2 linked regions of the Nothobranchius furzeri genome follow. The protein of the gene in region 1 binds, or shares a complex with, the protein of each later gene. Links are inferred from orthologs where the notes say so. Each region holds a gene or a part of one and is shown in the gene's direction. Other genes may lie near its edges.

Region 1 (6,291 bases):
CTAAACTGAAACATGCAAACCTTCAGAATTCTTGGTTAATCAAGATTAATGTTGAAAATTAGAGAAAAAAGTGTTAAAAGAGAAGAAACAAGGAATCATTGGGGCTTCTAGAGACCTTATATCAGGCATCTCCGGTTCAGCTGTGAGGTTCACACACTTCTATTTACAGTTTCAGAGCGACACCTACTGGACAAGTTGTTAACCAACACCACTGATAAAGCTAGTCAGTGTTTTCATTCGTCTCCGTTTTGACCCTTCAGATTGCAAAAGTGGAAAAACTGAAGCCTCTGGAGGTTGAGCTGAGGCGGCTGGAGGACCTGTCAGAATCCATCGTGAATGACTTTGCTTACATGAAGAAGAGGGAAGAGGAGATGCGGGACACCAACGGTAAGGCAACCACCGAACCATCAGGTCATCGATGTCACATAAATATATATATCTTAGTGTTTTGGGAAAGAGTCCTAATAAAAAAGAAAAACTTCAATAATAAAACGTGGTTAACTCCTGTATCTCACCACTACAGAGTCCACAAACACACGCGTGTTGTACTTCAGTATATTCTCCATGTGCTGTCTCATCGGACTGGCCACATGGCAGGTCTTCTACTTGCGGCGCTTCTTCAAGGCAAAGAAGCTGATCGAGTAGAGCGGTTCACCTGGCTCCGTTCCCCGAGGAACCCTGCCCGCCAGTCGGCAACCCCATCCCAGCATCCACCCTTCTTGGACTAGCGTCAACAAGCAACAGCAAGTGGGGCTGAGGGGCTCAAAATCTGGTTTTCAAGGTTGAGAGAAAAGGGTTTTCCTCCGGGGGAACATCTGCTTGTTACGTAGCTGTCAACAAGAAAAGCTCTGCAAGGAGAAATGAAGTGAGATGATGGTTGTTTCTTTCTGCACCGTTTTTACTGTTGCAGCTTCCTGAACAAGATTCCTTCATCAGTTGAATCGTGTTTTATTTTGAGCTCACTTTGAATGGATACACCATGAGTGAATGTTTCTGCCCTTCTGTTGAAATGCATTCTTTGCCATGTCATGCAAACTAGATCATCTGTCCTTTTGTCGACCAGGGCTCATTGAAAACATGGTTTGTTGTTACTTTCAGAAATTGGCAACCACTGAAACTTTGTGTCGTGTCACTCAGTAGCTATATTTAACTGTGTCTTTAGTTTTTCATATTGTAACTGCCACTTAGTTGCTTCTACTGGAAGGGTTTGAATTTTCACATTAATATTCCTTTATTGTAAATTTGGTCACTTCCTTGATCTCTTGCATGTTCGAGTTTTGTTTTTGGAACCTCCATCATCCAAGAACCAAAAATCCTCTTCTTGCACCGACATGGTTTGTATGACGCATTCATGCAAGTTTCTCATCAGAATGCAGGTTGGTAGTTGTGACAAAAAATTAGAAGTTATTCAGACATTTGCCCCTTTTTTGCTTTACACCTGATTATATTGTTTCCAATAACAGTCCTTGCAGATCCATCCAGTGTTGGTTTTATTTTTGTTTTTTCGTTGGAAGTGTTTGAATCTTGGGTCACGTCAATGTGGGTGTTTGCAGGTTTTCATATTGGTTTTGACAGGAAGTAATGGCTGTCCTGGTACATTTTTAACAATGGAACATGCGCATTCAGCGCAGTCAGTGATTTTTATGTTGACTGATAAATTTTGTAAATTTGTGTTGGGCTTTTATTCAATAAAAATATTGGATGGATTTACATGAGTTAAGTTTGTAAAGGTGTTTCCCTGTTCAAAGAATGTTCAGAATTTTTTTTTTTTTTTTGCCAGTCCTATAATAAAAATTACAGTGATCCAAACAGGTATTCTGTTGCATGGAGATAATAAAATACAAGGAAAACTGAATTTGTAACCAAGAAATTATGATCTATGTAAAACTTATGCAAGAATAACAAAATTACTAAAAAATCAAAAATTTGCCCAGATTAAAACTAGGTCATGTGTTTGATGGTAGGAAACTTCACCTACCTAAGTTTTGAGCAAATAACACGTGCATAATATTTTCACAAATTTGTATTGAATTAACATATTTTTTATTATGCCCTGTCTGCTTTTTTCTAATTGATTACTTCATTAATTTTTTTTATTAGTAAAATAAAATAGCACAAAAAATAACTTTTCGTTAGTTGTTGAAGGACAGACATTTTTTAAAATTCAAAATCAAATGGGAAAGGCCCCGAACTCCTTTCTTACCCATGCTGCCGCCTTTGGCCAAGTCTCCTTTGAAAAATGGACTTTAATCCTAAATAAAGGTTGAATAAACATTAAAGCTAAATAAAAAAATCAAGTATTTTTAGGATGAGATGCCTAGTTTATTTACGTTTTAAAGATATCGCTTAAAAGGTGATGAAGATAGACGCAGTAATCAGTCAACCAATCAGAGAGAAGAACACCCGCGTCCCCCGGATGTAATTCAGAAGAAATTCCGGTTCCCGATTTTTATGGTAGAAATTCGCCTATATCTGTTTTCTGCCGGTTAGTTCTGTAGTTTTTACTTGAACTATGCCGGGCCCGTACAAAGAAACGGACCTGACGGAGAGGGTCGAAGCTTTCCTGTCGGACCTGAAGCGGGGAGGCAGCGGAACCGGACCTCTGAGAGGTTCGGCTGAAACGGCCAGAGAAACGACGGCGCTACTCCGCAAAATTACCGCCCAGGCTCGGTGGAGCAGCGCAGGTGCTTCATTTGTCCCCTTTCTTCAGTTTAAAGTTAACCTTAACATCACAGTAGATCCACAAGCTGCTATAGGATCTACAAGTGGAGAGAAACACCGCGAAATATGTTAGCTGTTAAAACCCACGCTCCAGGAACAGGATATTAGCCTATTAGCATAACGGTGCGCCTAGTTTAGTACAGATGCTATGTAAGTACAAGACGTACATAGGATTAAATGTGGAGCAGTGTCCATATACATGTAAAAATGAATGGGAATGCAGACAGATGAATAGAAACGAACAATAACAACTTAATTTAAAGTTGCTTCAGTCAAACCTCATAATTATCCGTCTGTGTGCCCCTGTTGGCTCTCACCATTGTTGTGATCTGATCCTGTTTGATATTTTCACGTTTTCTGTCTTAGGTGATCTCATGGAGATCATCCGTAAAGAGGGCAGGAGAATGACCGCTGCTCAGCCTTCAGAGACCACCGTTGGTAACATGGTCAGAAGGGTGCTGAAGATCATCAGAGAGGAATACGCCAGGTGAGGACGCACCAGGGTGTAATCGGAATAAAAACATAAAACAGACAAAACTAATTCCTGCTTCCAAAAGGACACAATGTTAATTCTCTCCTTAGATCTCGAGGTAGCAGTGAAGAAGCAGACCAACAGGAGTCGCTCCACAAGCTCTTGACCTCTGGAGGACTCAGCGAGGAGAACTTCAGGCATCATTTTGCTCCTCTTAAAGCTAACGTCATCGAGGCCATCAACGAGTTGCTGACGGAGCTGGGTGAGTTGTTCTTATTAAGCTTATTTAGTTTTCAAGCAGAATAAATCCACAATTTTAAGGAGATTTCTTTAATTCTGGGCTTCCTTCACTCTTTCAGAGGGAACGACTGACAACATTGCGATGCAGGCACTGGAACACATTCACTCCAACGAGGTCATCATGACAATCGGGCGCTCTCGCACCGTAGAGGCCTTCCTCAAAGACGCTGCGCGGAAACGCAAGTTCCATGTCATCGTAGCAGAGTGTGCACCCTTCTGCCAGGTAGCACGGACAAATGAGGTCTAAGTAAGTTAAACTCTTTGTTGTTTAAAATAATTTTTTAAAACTTTATTTATCTTCTAATAGGGACATGAAATGGCCACCAGCCTATCAAAAGCGGGCATAGAAACAACCGTGATTGCAGATGCGGCCATATTTGCGGTCATGTCTCGAGTTAATAAGGTATTTTTCCACATCTGATGATTAAGGGTATCGTCAGGGCATGCAGGTTAACTTGTGTGATGATGTGTCTGCAGGTCATCATCGGTACTCAGACAGTCCTAGCAAATGGTGGTTTGAGGGCCGTCAATGGAACACATACACTTGCCCTCGCGGCCAAACATCACTCAACACCTCTCATCGTTTGTGCTCCGATGTTCAAGCTCTCACCTCAGGTCCGATAAACACCCGCATCCATCAGACCTTTGCTCTTTCTCTTAATAACAAACAATTTCAACTTTTATATTTTATTTATTTTGCAGTTTCCAAATGAGGAAGACACCTTCCATAAATTTGTTTCCCCACACGAAGTCCTCCCTTTCACCGAAGGTAAGTCGTTACCACAACCTCCTTTTGAGCCTTCAGGTGAAAAGTTGCATCCATTGAAAGAAATCAGTTTTATCTTTTTGTTTTTCAGGTGAGATCCTCTCTAAAGTCAACGTACACTGTCCAGTGTTCGACTACGTTCCTCCTGAGCTCATCACTCTCTTCATCTCCAACATTGGAGGACATGCACCCTCATACATTTATCGACTAATGAGTGAGCTTTACCACCCGGAGGACCACGAGCTTTAATCGCTGTAATAAATAAGTTATTAACTATTGACGTTGAGTTTTGTTTACTTTGAGAGAAAGAGAGCCCAGTGGCAGGAAGGCAGTTTTCTCCTCTTTTATTTAGTTCCACACAAACCTTCCACTTCAGCACAAAACAGAGGTAAACACATCGACTAAAGATACTAAAACCACGTGATAATCCACATCTGGACTCCATCTTTGATGAATAAATGGTAATCAAACACCTCTCCCATTAGCAGTTACACAATCACTTTTTTTCTGTAAAAACAAGTTTTCATTTATGAAAAAGTTTTAAGGGAAACGTGCCTTAGTGGTGGGAAAACTTCCCCTTTCTGATCCAGTCTAGCGGTTGAGGTTATTATGGAACTAACGCTAAAATATTTGGCTACGCTGTAATTTTGCCACCATTTGACAATTTCAAGCCACTAATAGACATTAAACAAATAGTTTTATAGATTTTATTGTAGCTGCAGCGATGTAGGACATTTAAAGGGTACAAATAAAAATACATAAATACTAAAATTTGCATTAAAATATACACTCACTGGCCACTTTATTGGATACACCTGTCCAATTGCTCGTTAATGCTAATTACTAATCAGCCAATCACAGGGTGGCAACTTAATGCATTTAGGCGTGTTGGCATGGTCAAGATGATCGGCTGAAGTTCAAACTGAGCTTCAGAATGAGGGATGAAAGGTAAGTGAAGTGACTTTGAACGTGGTCTGGTTGTTAGTGCCAGACGGGCTGGTCTGAGTATTTCAGAACCTGCTGATCTTCTGGGATTGTGACACACCACCATCTCTAGAGTTTACAGAGAATGGTCTGAAAAAGGGAAAACATCCAGTGTGCAGCAGTTCTGTGGGTGAAAATGCCTTGTTGGTGCCAGAGGTCAGAGGAGAATGGCCAGACTGGTTCCAGTTGATAGAAAGACAACAGTAACTCAAATAACCAATTGTTACAGTCAAGGTGTGCAGAAGAGCATCGACACGTCGAACCTTGAGGTAGATGAGTTACAGCAGCAGAAGACCACACCGGGTGCCACTCCTGTCAGCTAAGATCATGAAACTGAGGCTGCAATTCATACAGGCTTACCAAAACTGGACAATAGAAGACTGGAAGAATGTTGTGTGCTGCAACATTCAGATGGTAGGGTCAGAATTTGGCGTCAACAACATGAAAGCATGGATCCATCCTGCCTTGCCTCAACGGTTCAGGCTGCTGGTGGTGGTGGTGTAATGGTGTGGGGGACATTTTCTTGGCACACTTTGGGTCCCTTAGTACTAACTGATCATCGTTGCAACGCCTCAGCCTACCTGAGTATTGTTGCTGACCATGTCCATCCCTTTGCGACCACAGTGTACCCATCTTCTAACGGTTACTTCCAGCAGAATAATTTACCATGTCATAAAGCTGGAATCATCTCAGACTGGTTTTTCTAACAAGACAGTGAATTCACTGTACTCCACAGTCACCAGATCTCAGTCCAATAGAGCACCTTTGGGATGCGGTAGGACGCATCATGGATGTGCTGCCAACAAGTCTGCAGCAACAACGGGATGCAATCATGTCAGCATGGACCAACATGTGAGGAATGTTCCCAGTACCTTGTTAAGGCAGCTCTGAAGGCAAAACGGGGTCCAACCCGGTACTGGCAAGGTGTACCCAATAAAGTGGCCAGCAGCTTTATTTATATAGCACATAGCACACATAGATGATATTTAATGTGCTGTCCAGTAGCACGAAAAAACTGGAAACGTAAACGGTAGATTTTAACATCTGT
Region 2 (6,107 bases), on another chromosome or scaffold:
TCTGGCCTCTCTGCACTGGCTTCCGATTTGCTATCGCTCACAATTCAAAATCCTCGTCTTTGTTTATCATTTCTTCCAGGGTGGTGGTCCCCCCTATCTGGCCACTCTCCTGAACAAACATTCCCCATCACGTGCTCTGCGCTCCTCTGACCAAGGCCTGCTCGCTGTCCCTCGGTCTATGTGTCGTACCCGTGGGGACCGGGCTTTTTCAGTCCTAGCACCGTCACTCTGGAACCAGTTGCCACCCTCAGTTAGGCTGTCCCCTTCTCTGCCAGTCTTTAAGAATCACCTAAAAACACACCTCCTCCGCTTGGCGTTTCCAGAACATGTTTGATTTTGGCCCTCTTTTATGTTGAATCCATTCCACAGTTTTCATTGGTACACTCAATCCATCCACTCAATCCAAATGTGTTTCACACATTTGTCCTTCACCAGAATGTTTCATCTATCTTGTAATTTCCATTTTGTATTTTGTAATTTGTATTTTGTAATTTGAATTTCTTTTATTGTTGATTTATTCAATATATTTACATACAACTGTACATTGTTCAGCGCTTTGGGCTTCCTGACAGGGTTGCGGAAGGCGCTTTATAAATAAAGCTTTGATTGATTGATTGATTGATTGAACAATCCAGACATGACATTAAAAAAGACAAAGGTTTTAATTGTATGTGTCTACATTCATAACTATGAAGGTACACAGTAACGAACACACTGTGAAGCTCACAGTAATCAACTGGCAGCAATTAACAAGTAAGTTATTGTTAAAAAGGATTACAGTGCTGATGCTGAGTTTGTGATTTCCTACAGTTCACAGTACATTTTTGTGAGATTTCAAACTATTGTAAATTATTGTATTATTATTTAAAATAAAAAAATTAAAATGTGCACTTTTTTCCGTTTTCCTTTATAAAAACTGACTTTTATCATACAGCTTAATCTGTGATAGCTATACATTTTCCCCAATGCACTGATTCTACTGCCCTCACTTAACCCAATAATACTAAAGCCTACTGCATACTCTGCAAACAAGATGCAAAAAGATAAATCAGTTCACCTACACAATTAGCCAACAGGCTTTTGCCAAATTCGGCGTACTGGATTCAGTGTGCACTCTTCGTTCTATGGTGTTGCTCACTCAAGCTACGGTACTTTGTCTTTTTTTCCTCACTTGTTGCTTGCCTGGTTTTGAGCAAGCAGTAATGAGCAGTCAAGCTCATCTCCTGGCCAGAACAAACAAAACCAAAGCCACATTCCCCGAGCTCAATTTTCTGTTACGTCTCAGCTCTGTGGATTGAGAGTTTTCAGGCCTGAAGTTTGGAGGCTGTGTGACTTCTGGCTGCTAATATACTCACACTATTTTGGTGTCTGTGTGAAAGTAAATTCATTAAACATGCTTAAAAGTAACATGCATTCATATAATGTTTTAAACCAAAAATTTAAAGGGTGGGGGTATCATTGAATAGAAATAAGGAAAATATTGCAATTAACAATCTTTGAATACTTATTATCACCGGTGTTGATAAATAAAGAGATCTGTATTTTCACACTTTCTTCAGATCATTACAAAGTTAGATTATATCTTAGCTCTTATTCAGAAAAAATGTTTTTAAATTTTCTCATAAATGAAATCTGTGCATGTGCTTTCCGTTTTTTTGAATAACTACACATTCATATTATTAGACAGACAGCCATAATGCTTTCATGTAATAACATTCACGTCAGCGGTAATACCCGGTATATTCTGTAGGAACAAATGTCGAGGAATCAGTTTCCTCACGGGCACATTTTACTGAACACTCCCAATGTCATCATACTATTGCTAGCTGTTAGCTTGGCTTACGCTGTTCTTGTACAGTGTTTCAGCAAGCTTTTTGATTTTTTTCACCAACGCTTATCATATGATAAGTTTTGCTTCCAAAAGAGCTGTCTAGCTGAGTTTGACTTTGAGCATTAATTTGAGTAGCGGCATCGTTTACGTCTGTGTACCGATAGTTAGCCAGGTGCTAACTACTCATCACAACTTGCATGCGTCTGTTTCTTCTGTCATCGAAAGGCAACTGGATTTAAGGATAGGTATGCAAATGTTAACCATTCTCGAGTTCAGGCATTTTACTCGAGTTGAAGTCACTGGCATTTATTTAATTGAACCGCATGTTGTGATGCTCTTGCCCTGTTCAACCTTATGTGAGACGATAACTTTTCCTTTCAGTGAGCTTTTTCAGTCACCGGCACGTCTCATCTTGTCCCACAGTTCTTATTGCTGCATTTCAAGCTGCGCTAATCAAGCAAGGTCATGAATCTAATCTAAACGTTAAATTCTGTTAAACTATAGGAATGTGTTTTTAGTAAAAAATAAGAAAACGTTTACTACTTTTGTCAATATATGTATTGATTCATATTTCTGTACATTTACAAATAATTACAGATTATCTTTCATATCGCGTTTAACCTCTCATTAAGGTATTAAACGTTTGCAATCTAATGTTTTAAACCTAAACATAATTAGCACACAATTAGGCAGAATTTCAAACAAAATCAACACATGCATATAATCAGTCTTTACTCATTTCAATAGATCTTTTAAACTGATTTCAAATTAGCTTCACAGCTTTGAGTAAGGAAAATAAATCTACAATATATATATATATCCAACAGATGAAAGATGCCTCATGCCTACCTTCTTAAATTTCTAAAGATGTCCAGCAGTGTCATGTGCTCAAAGTTGTACAAACCTTTTAAATACCTGTGTGACCTAGGTACACATATCTACTCTCTTAATTAGTCTAACAAGAAATGCTCTTAACATGTTATTATACAGACAAACCCATACAGCTTATCAAAAATATAAGAACTTAGGTGCAGCCAAGTAGGTGCTCTGATTAAGGCAACAGTTACTAGATTATCTCAGAAGATTATGCCAAAAACCTGCAGTGTGGACACTTGATTGTCTGCAGGCAACCGGGAAGAAAGTTCTTGCAAGTTTGGTGCTGCATTTCTGCAACAAGATGACAATCTGATACAGCTAGTGAGCATCACAGAGCACTTGACCTTAACAGGATTGTGTCAAAAGTTTAGTTAAAGCAGCAAATAAGTGTACCTAGAAGAACATACGCTGATGTGAGGGCATCATGCATTGATTTGATTTCCAGTAGCTGTTCATTAATGTTAGTTTTGGCAGTTCATTTGATAAAAACTGTTATTATTTTCTTTTAAAGTCTGTTTCTCTCTCCAGACATCATGGAGCTTCAGGCGGTGTTGATGGCAGCTGGGGGAGGTTCTCGTATGACTGACCTAACATACAACACACCTAAACCTATGCTGCCTGTTGGCAACAAACCACTTATGTGGTATCCCTTGAACCTGCTGGAGAGAGTCGGCTTTGAAGGTGAGAACTCAAGCGTTAATTATAATAATTAACATTTTTATACCCTACATAAGCTACAACAAACCCACCTTCGACATGATTAAAAGTCAAATCCAGCAGTATAAGCATAAACACATGTGGGCCATCTAACGTTTAAACTGTATGGACTTGTATGTCGAGTTACGCTGTAATTTACCTTCTAACATCCTCTCAACAATCAGATCTCATGGCGGGAGGGCTCCGTGTAAGCTTTGTGCCCTCCATCCATGTCTCAGTGGCAGGATTTGGAAGAGTTATGGGGAGCACATTCTTGGTTTCCACATAAAATGTAAAGAGGCACAATACAGCTTGTAGGTTTATGTGACTCACTTGAGAAATCCGGAACTTAAAATAGAAAATAAAAATAAAAACTTGACATAAGGACTTGGACAGCATCTTTTATGTATTTGTCTACGCATAATTTTGTGCTTTAGCCTTATTTTCACAGATAAATACATAGACACACAGTTTAAGTCACAAGTAAGGATTAAAACAAATATAATGGTCCTTTGGTATGTGCTTGCTGTGTTGCTTTTCTAACTGCATTGTTGGTTATTTTTTAAAACACAGAAAAGGTTTATTTTTTACCTTTCTGCTCACAGTTTTATTCGCGGTTGCAAACTTCCTCAGAGCGGACGCGTCAGCAGCAAGGTAAAAAAAATAAACCTTTTCTGTGTTTTAAAAAAGAACCAACAATGTAAATATAATGCTATTCACCAGTTTCTTAACTTTAATGAGACAATGTAGTTTTTACCTTTAATCTCTGGAAATATCCATCAAAATGTTGTTGAAAATGAATAAAAGGATGTCCAGTTGTTGAAAAACATTAGCAGCTTCGTTACAAATAACCAAAAACATCAAGACTAAAGTACATGGCGTATTTGGGGGGTGCCATATTAGACGCCATGTTTCCTTTTGACCGTCTTGGGGTCTTGTGCCTGTTGATGACATCACACTAGATAATTGGCTGGACATGGTAGTATGAAACAGATTTAATAACAAAACTGCTAAACTCTTTCCCAGACATATGTGAAAGAGCAGAATTGAAAAGAGATGCAATATATTTTGGCTAAGCGATATTGCCATAGTGGGATGACATCATTGGCAGGCGTAGGACCCAGAGCAGATCCGGAAAGTGCAGCGCAAGAAAACTAGAGTCGGCATTGCATTCTCTCGATGGAATTACCTGAAGGACCCTCAAAGTCTGAGGTTGCATGCCTTCTGCTCCTCAGATAATGTTTACTGTAATGTTTATTTTTTATTTATTTATTTATTTTTACCAGCGGCAGTCATGGCGAAATGGTGTAAAACTACTCTGAAATGTATGCACTACCCTAGTGCCAGGAAACTACACACTGCCACTCAAGATCCTGGTTCTGGGTTTAGGGCCTTGCATGGACAAACACCCAATCTTACATTAATGATCTTCTTAGTCCCTACACCCCCAGCAGGTCCCTGAGGTCCGGTGACCAAAGCCTAATGGTTGTGCAGCACCAGGTAAAACAGGCTAAAGGTGACAGATCATTTGCTGCTGTGGCCCCCAGACTCTGGAAACTCTACCCCCCTGAGCCTGAGATCAGTGGACCTAGTGGTCTCCTTCAAAGAGCAGCTCAAAACTCACCTGTTCAAGCTGGCTTTTACGTGACCTTCATCACCACCCTCTCCTTGTTCTGCCTGCAATCCCGCCTTTCCTGGGATCCACTGATTTCCCTCTTTCATAATCATTTTCTCATTCCCTTTCCTTGCATTTTTAATCACAGCTCCTCATTTTTGTCTTCTTCTTTTTCTTCTAATTTTTACCATATTTTAAAATAATTTTTTGAAGATTTTTTTTTGTATTTTGAGTTTTATGTTCTTGTGAAGCACCTTGTGCTTTTTAACTTGAGAGGCGCTATATAAAAGATCTTTTTCTTTCTTTCGTTAAACAAAAGTGCTAAAAAATACAGATTTAATCAAAACATCACTAACAATATTTTGGCAGATAAATTGATTTTATCTGTACCTATTTGTTGTTTACCAACAATTAAACAGAAAACTACAGTCTTTAATATGATTTCGTTATTTATTATAAAGTCATTACACATTTAGACATGCATTTCTCTTCATAAACACATCATCTCATTCATCTCACTTGTCGGGTGTGCATTCTTGTTGTCTGGATTTATAGACCAGATTTTCTTTAGGATGCAGCAGATCCACAAACCAGAGCTTATGAATGTAAACCTGCTTTTTTCCAGTCTGCTATTCTTGCCAATAAATTGGACTGTTCATTATGAAAGCTTGCCATTTCTCATTTGTCTAAAGAAAAGTTGCTTTCTATATGTAATCCGCTTGTGTGGCCAGCAGTTTACTACGTGTTTCCTGCTAGCCAAAGCTTTGCAATTAGATTTTACTGGGCTGACACAGCTAATCTGAGCAAATGCCCAGTAGAAACTAGTTTATGTCGTCGATGCTGTCTGTTTTCTAAAAGGAGTGATCATTAAATACTTGTGACTTGTGTTTTCAGAGGTTATAGTGATAACCACTAAAGAGGTCCAGAAGATGATGAGCACGGACCCAAAAATGAAGCAGGAGGTAAAGATGAAGTTGGACGTGGTTTGCATCCAGGAGGACGGAGACATGGGTACTGCTGATGCCCTCAGATACATTCAGCAGAAAATCAAGGTGTTTTATTTATTTATTTGTTTTTATAGACTAATTT

Evidence for each region.
Region 2: eif2b2 (region 1) and eif2b3 share a complex: the UniProt entries of both Homo sapiens proteins name them as parts of the translation initiation factor 2B (eIF2B) complex. The link is inferred for Nothobranchius furzeri from reciprocal best matches to the Homo sapiens genes EIF2B2 and EIF2B3.

Annotation. Positions count from the first base shown.
Region 1 is NC_091742.1:2,322,974-2,329,264, forward strand, and holds the start of eif2b2 (translation initiation factor eIF2B subunit beta), read left to right. Parts: upstream 1-2,409; 5' UTR 2,410-2,512; coding exon 2,513-2,684; intron 2,685-3,087; coding exon 3,088-3,208; intron 3,209-3,303; coding exon 3,304-3,455; intron 3,456-3,552; coding exon 3,553-3,716; intron 3,717-3,800; coding exon 3,801-3,896; intron 3,897-3,970; coding exon 3,971-4,108; intron 4,109-4,195; coding exon 4,196-4,262; intron 4,263-4,350; coding exon 4,351-4,508; 3' UTR 4,509-4,513; exon of another isoform or gene 4,514-4,539; intron 4,540-6,291. Other genes in the region: tmed10 (transmembrane emp24 domain-containing protein 10), read left to right, coding at 261-387, 524-645. UniProt on the Homo sapiens protein: Acts as a component of the translation initiation factor 2B (eIF2B) complex, which catalyzes the exchange of GDP for GTP on eukaryotic initiation factor 2 (eIF2) gamma subunit.
Region 2 is NC_091751.1:54,334,741-54,340,847, forward strand, and holds the start of eif2b3 (translation initiation factor eIF2B subunit gamma), read left to right. Parts: upstream 1-1,781; 5' UTR 1,782-2,076; intron 2,077-3,235; 5' UTR 3,236-3,240; coding exon 3,241-3,388; intron 3,389-5,912; coding exon 5,913-6,070; intron 6,071-6,107. UniProt on the Homo sapiens protein: Acts as a component of the translation initiation factor 2B (eIF2B) complex, which catalyzes the exchange of GDP for GTP on the eukaryotic initiation factor 2 (eIF2) complex gamma subunit.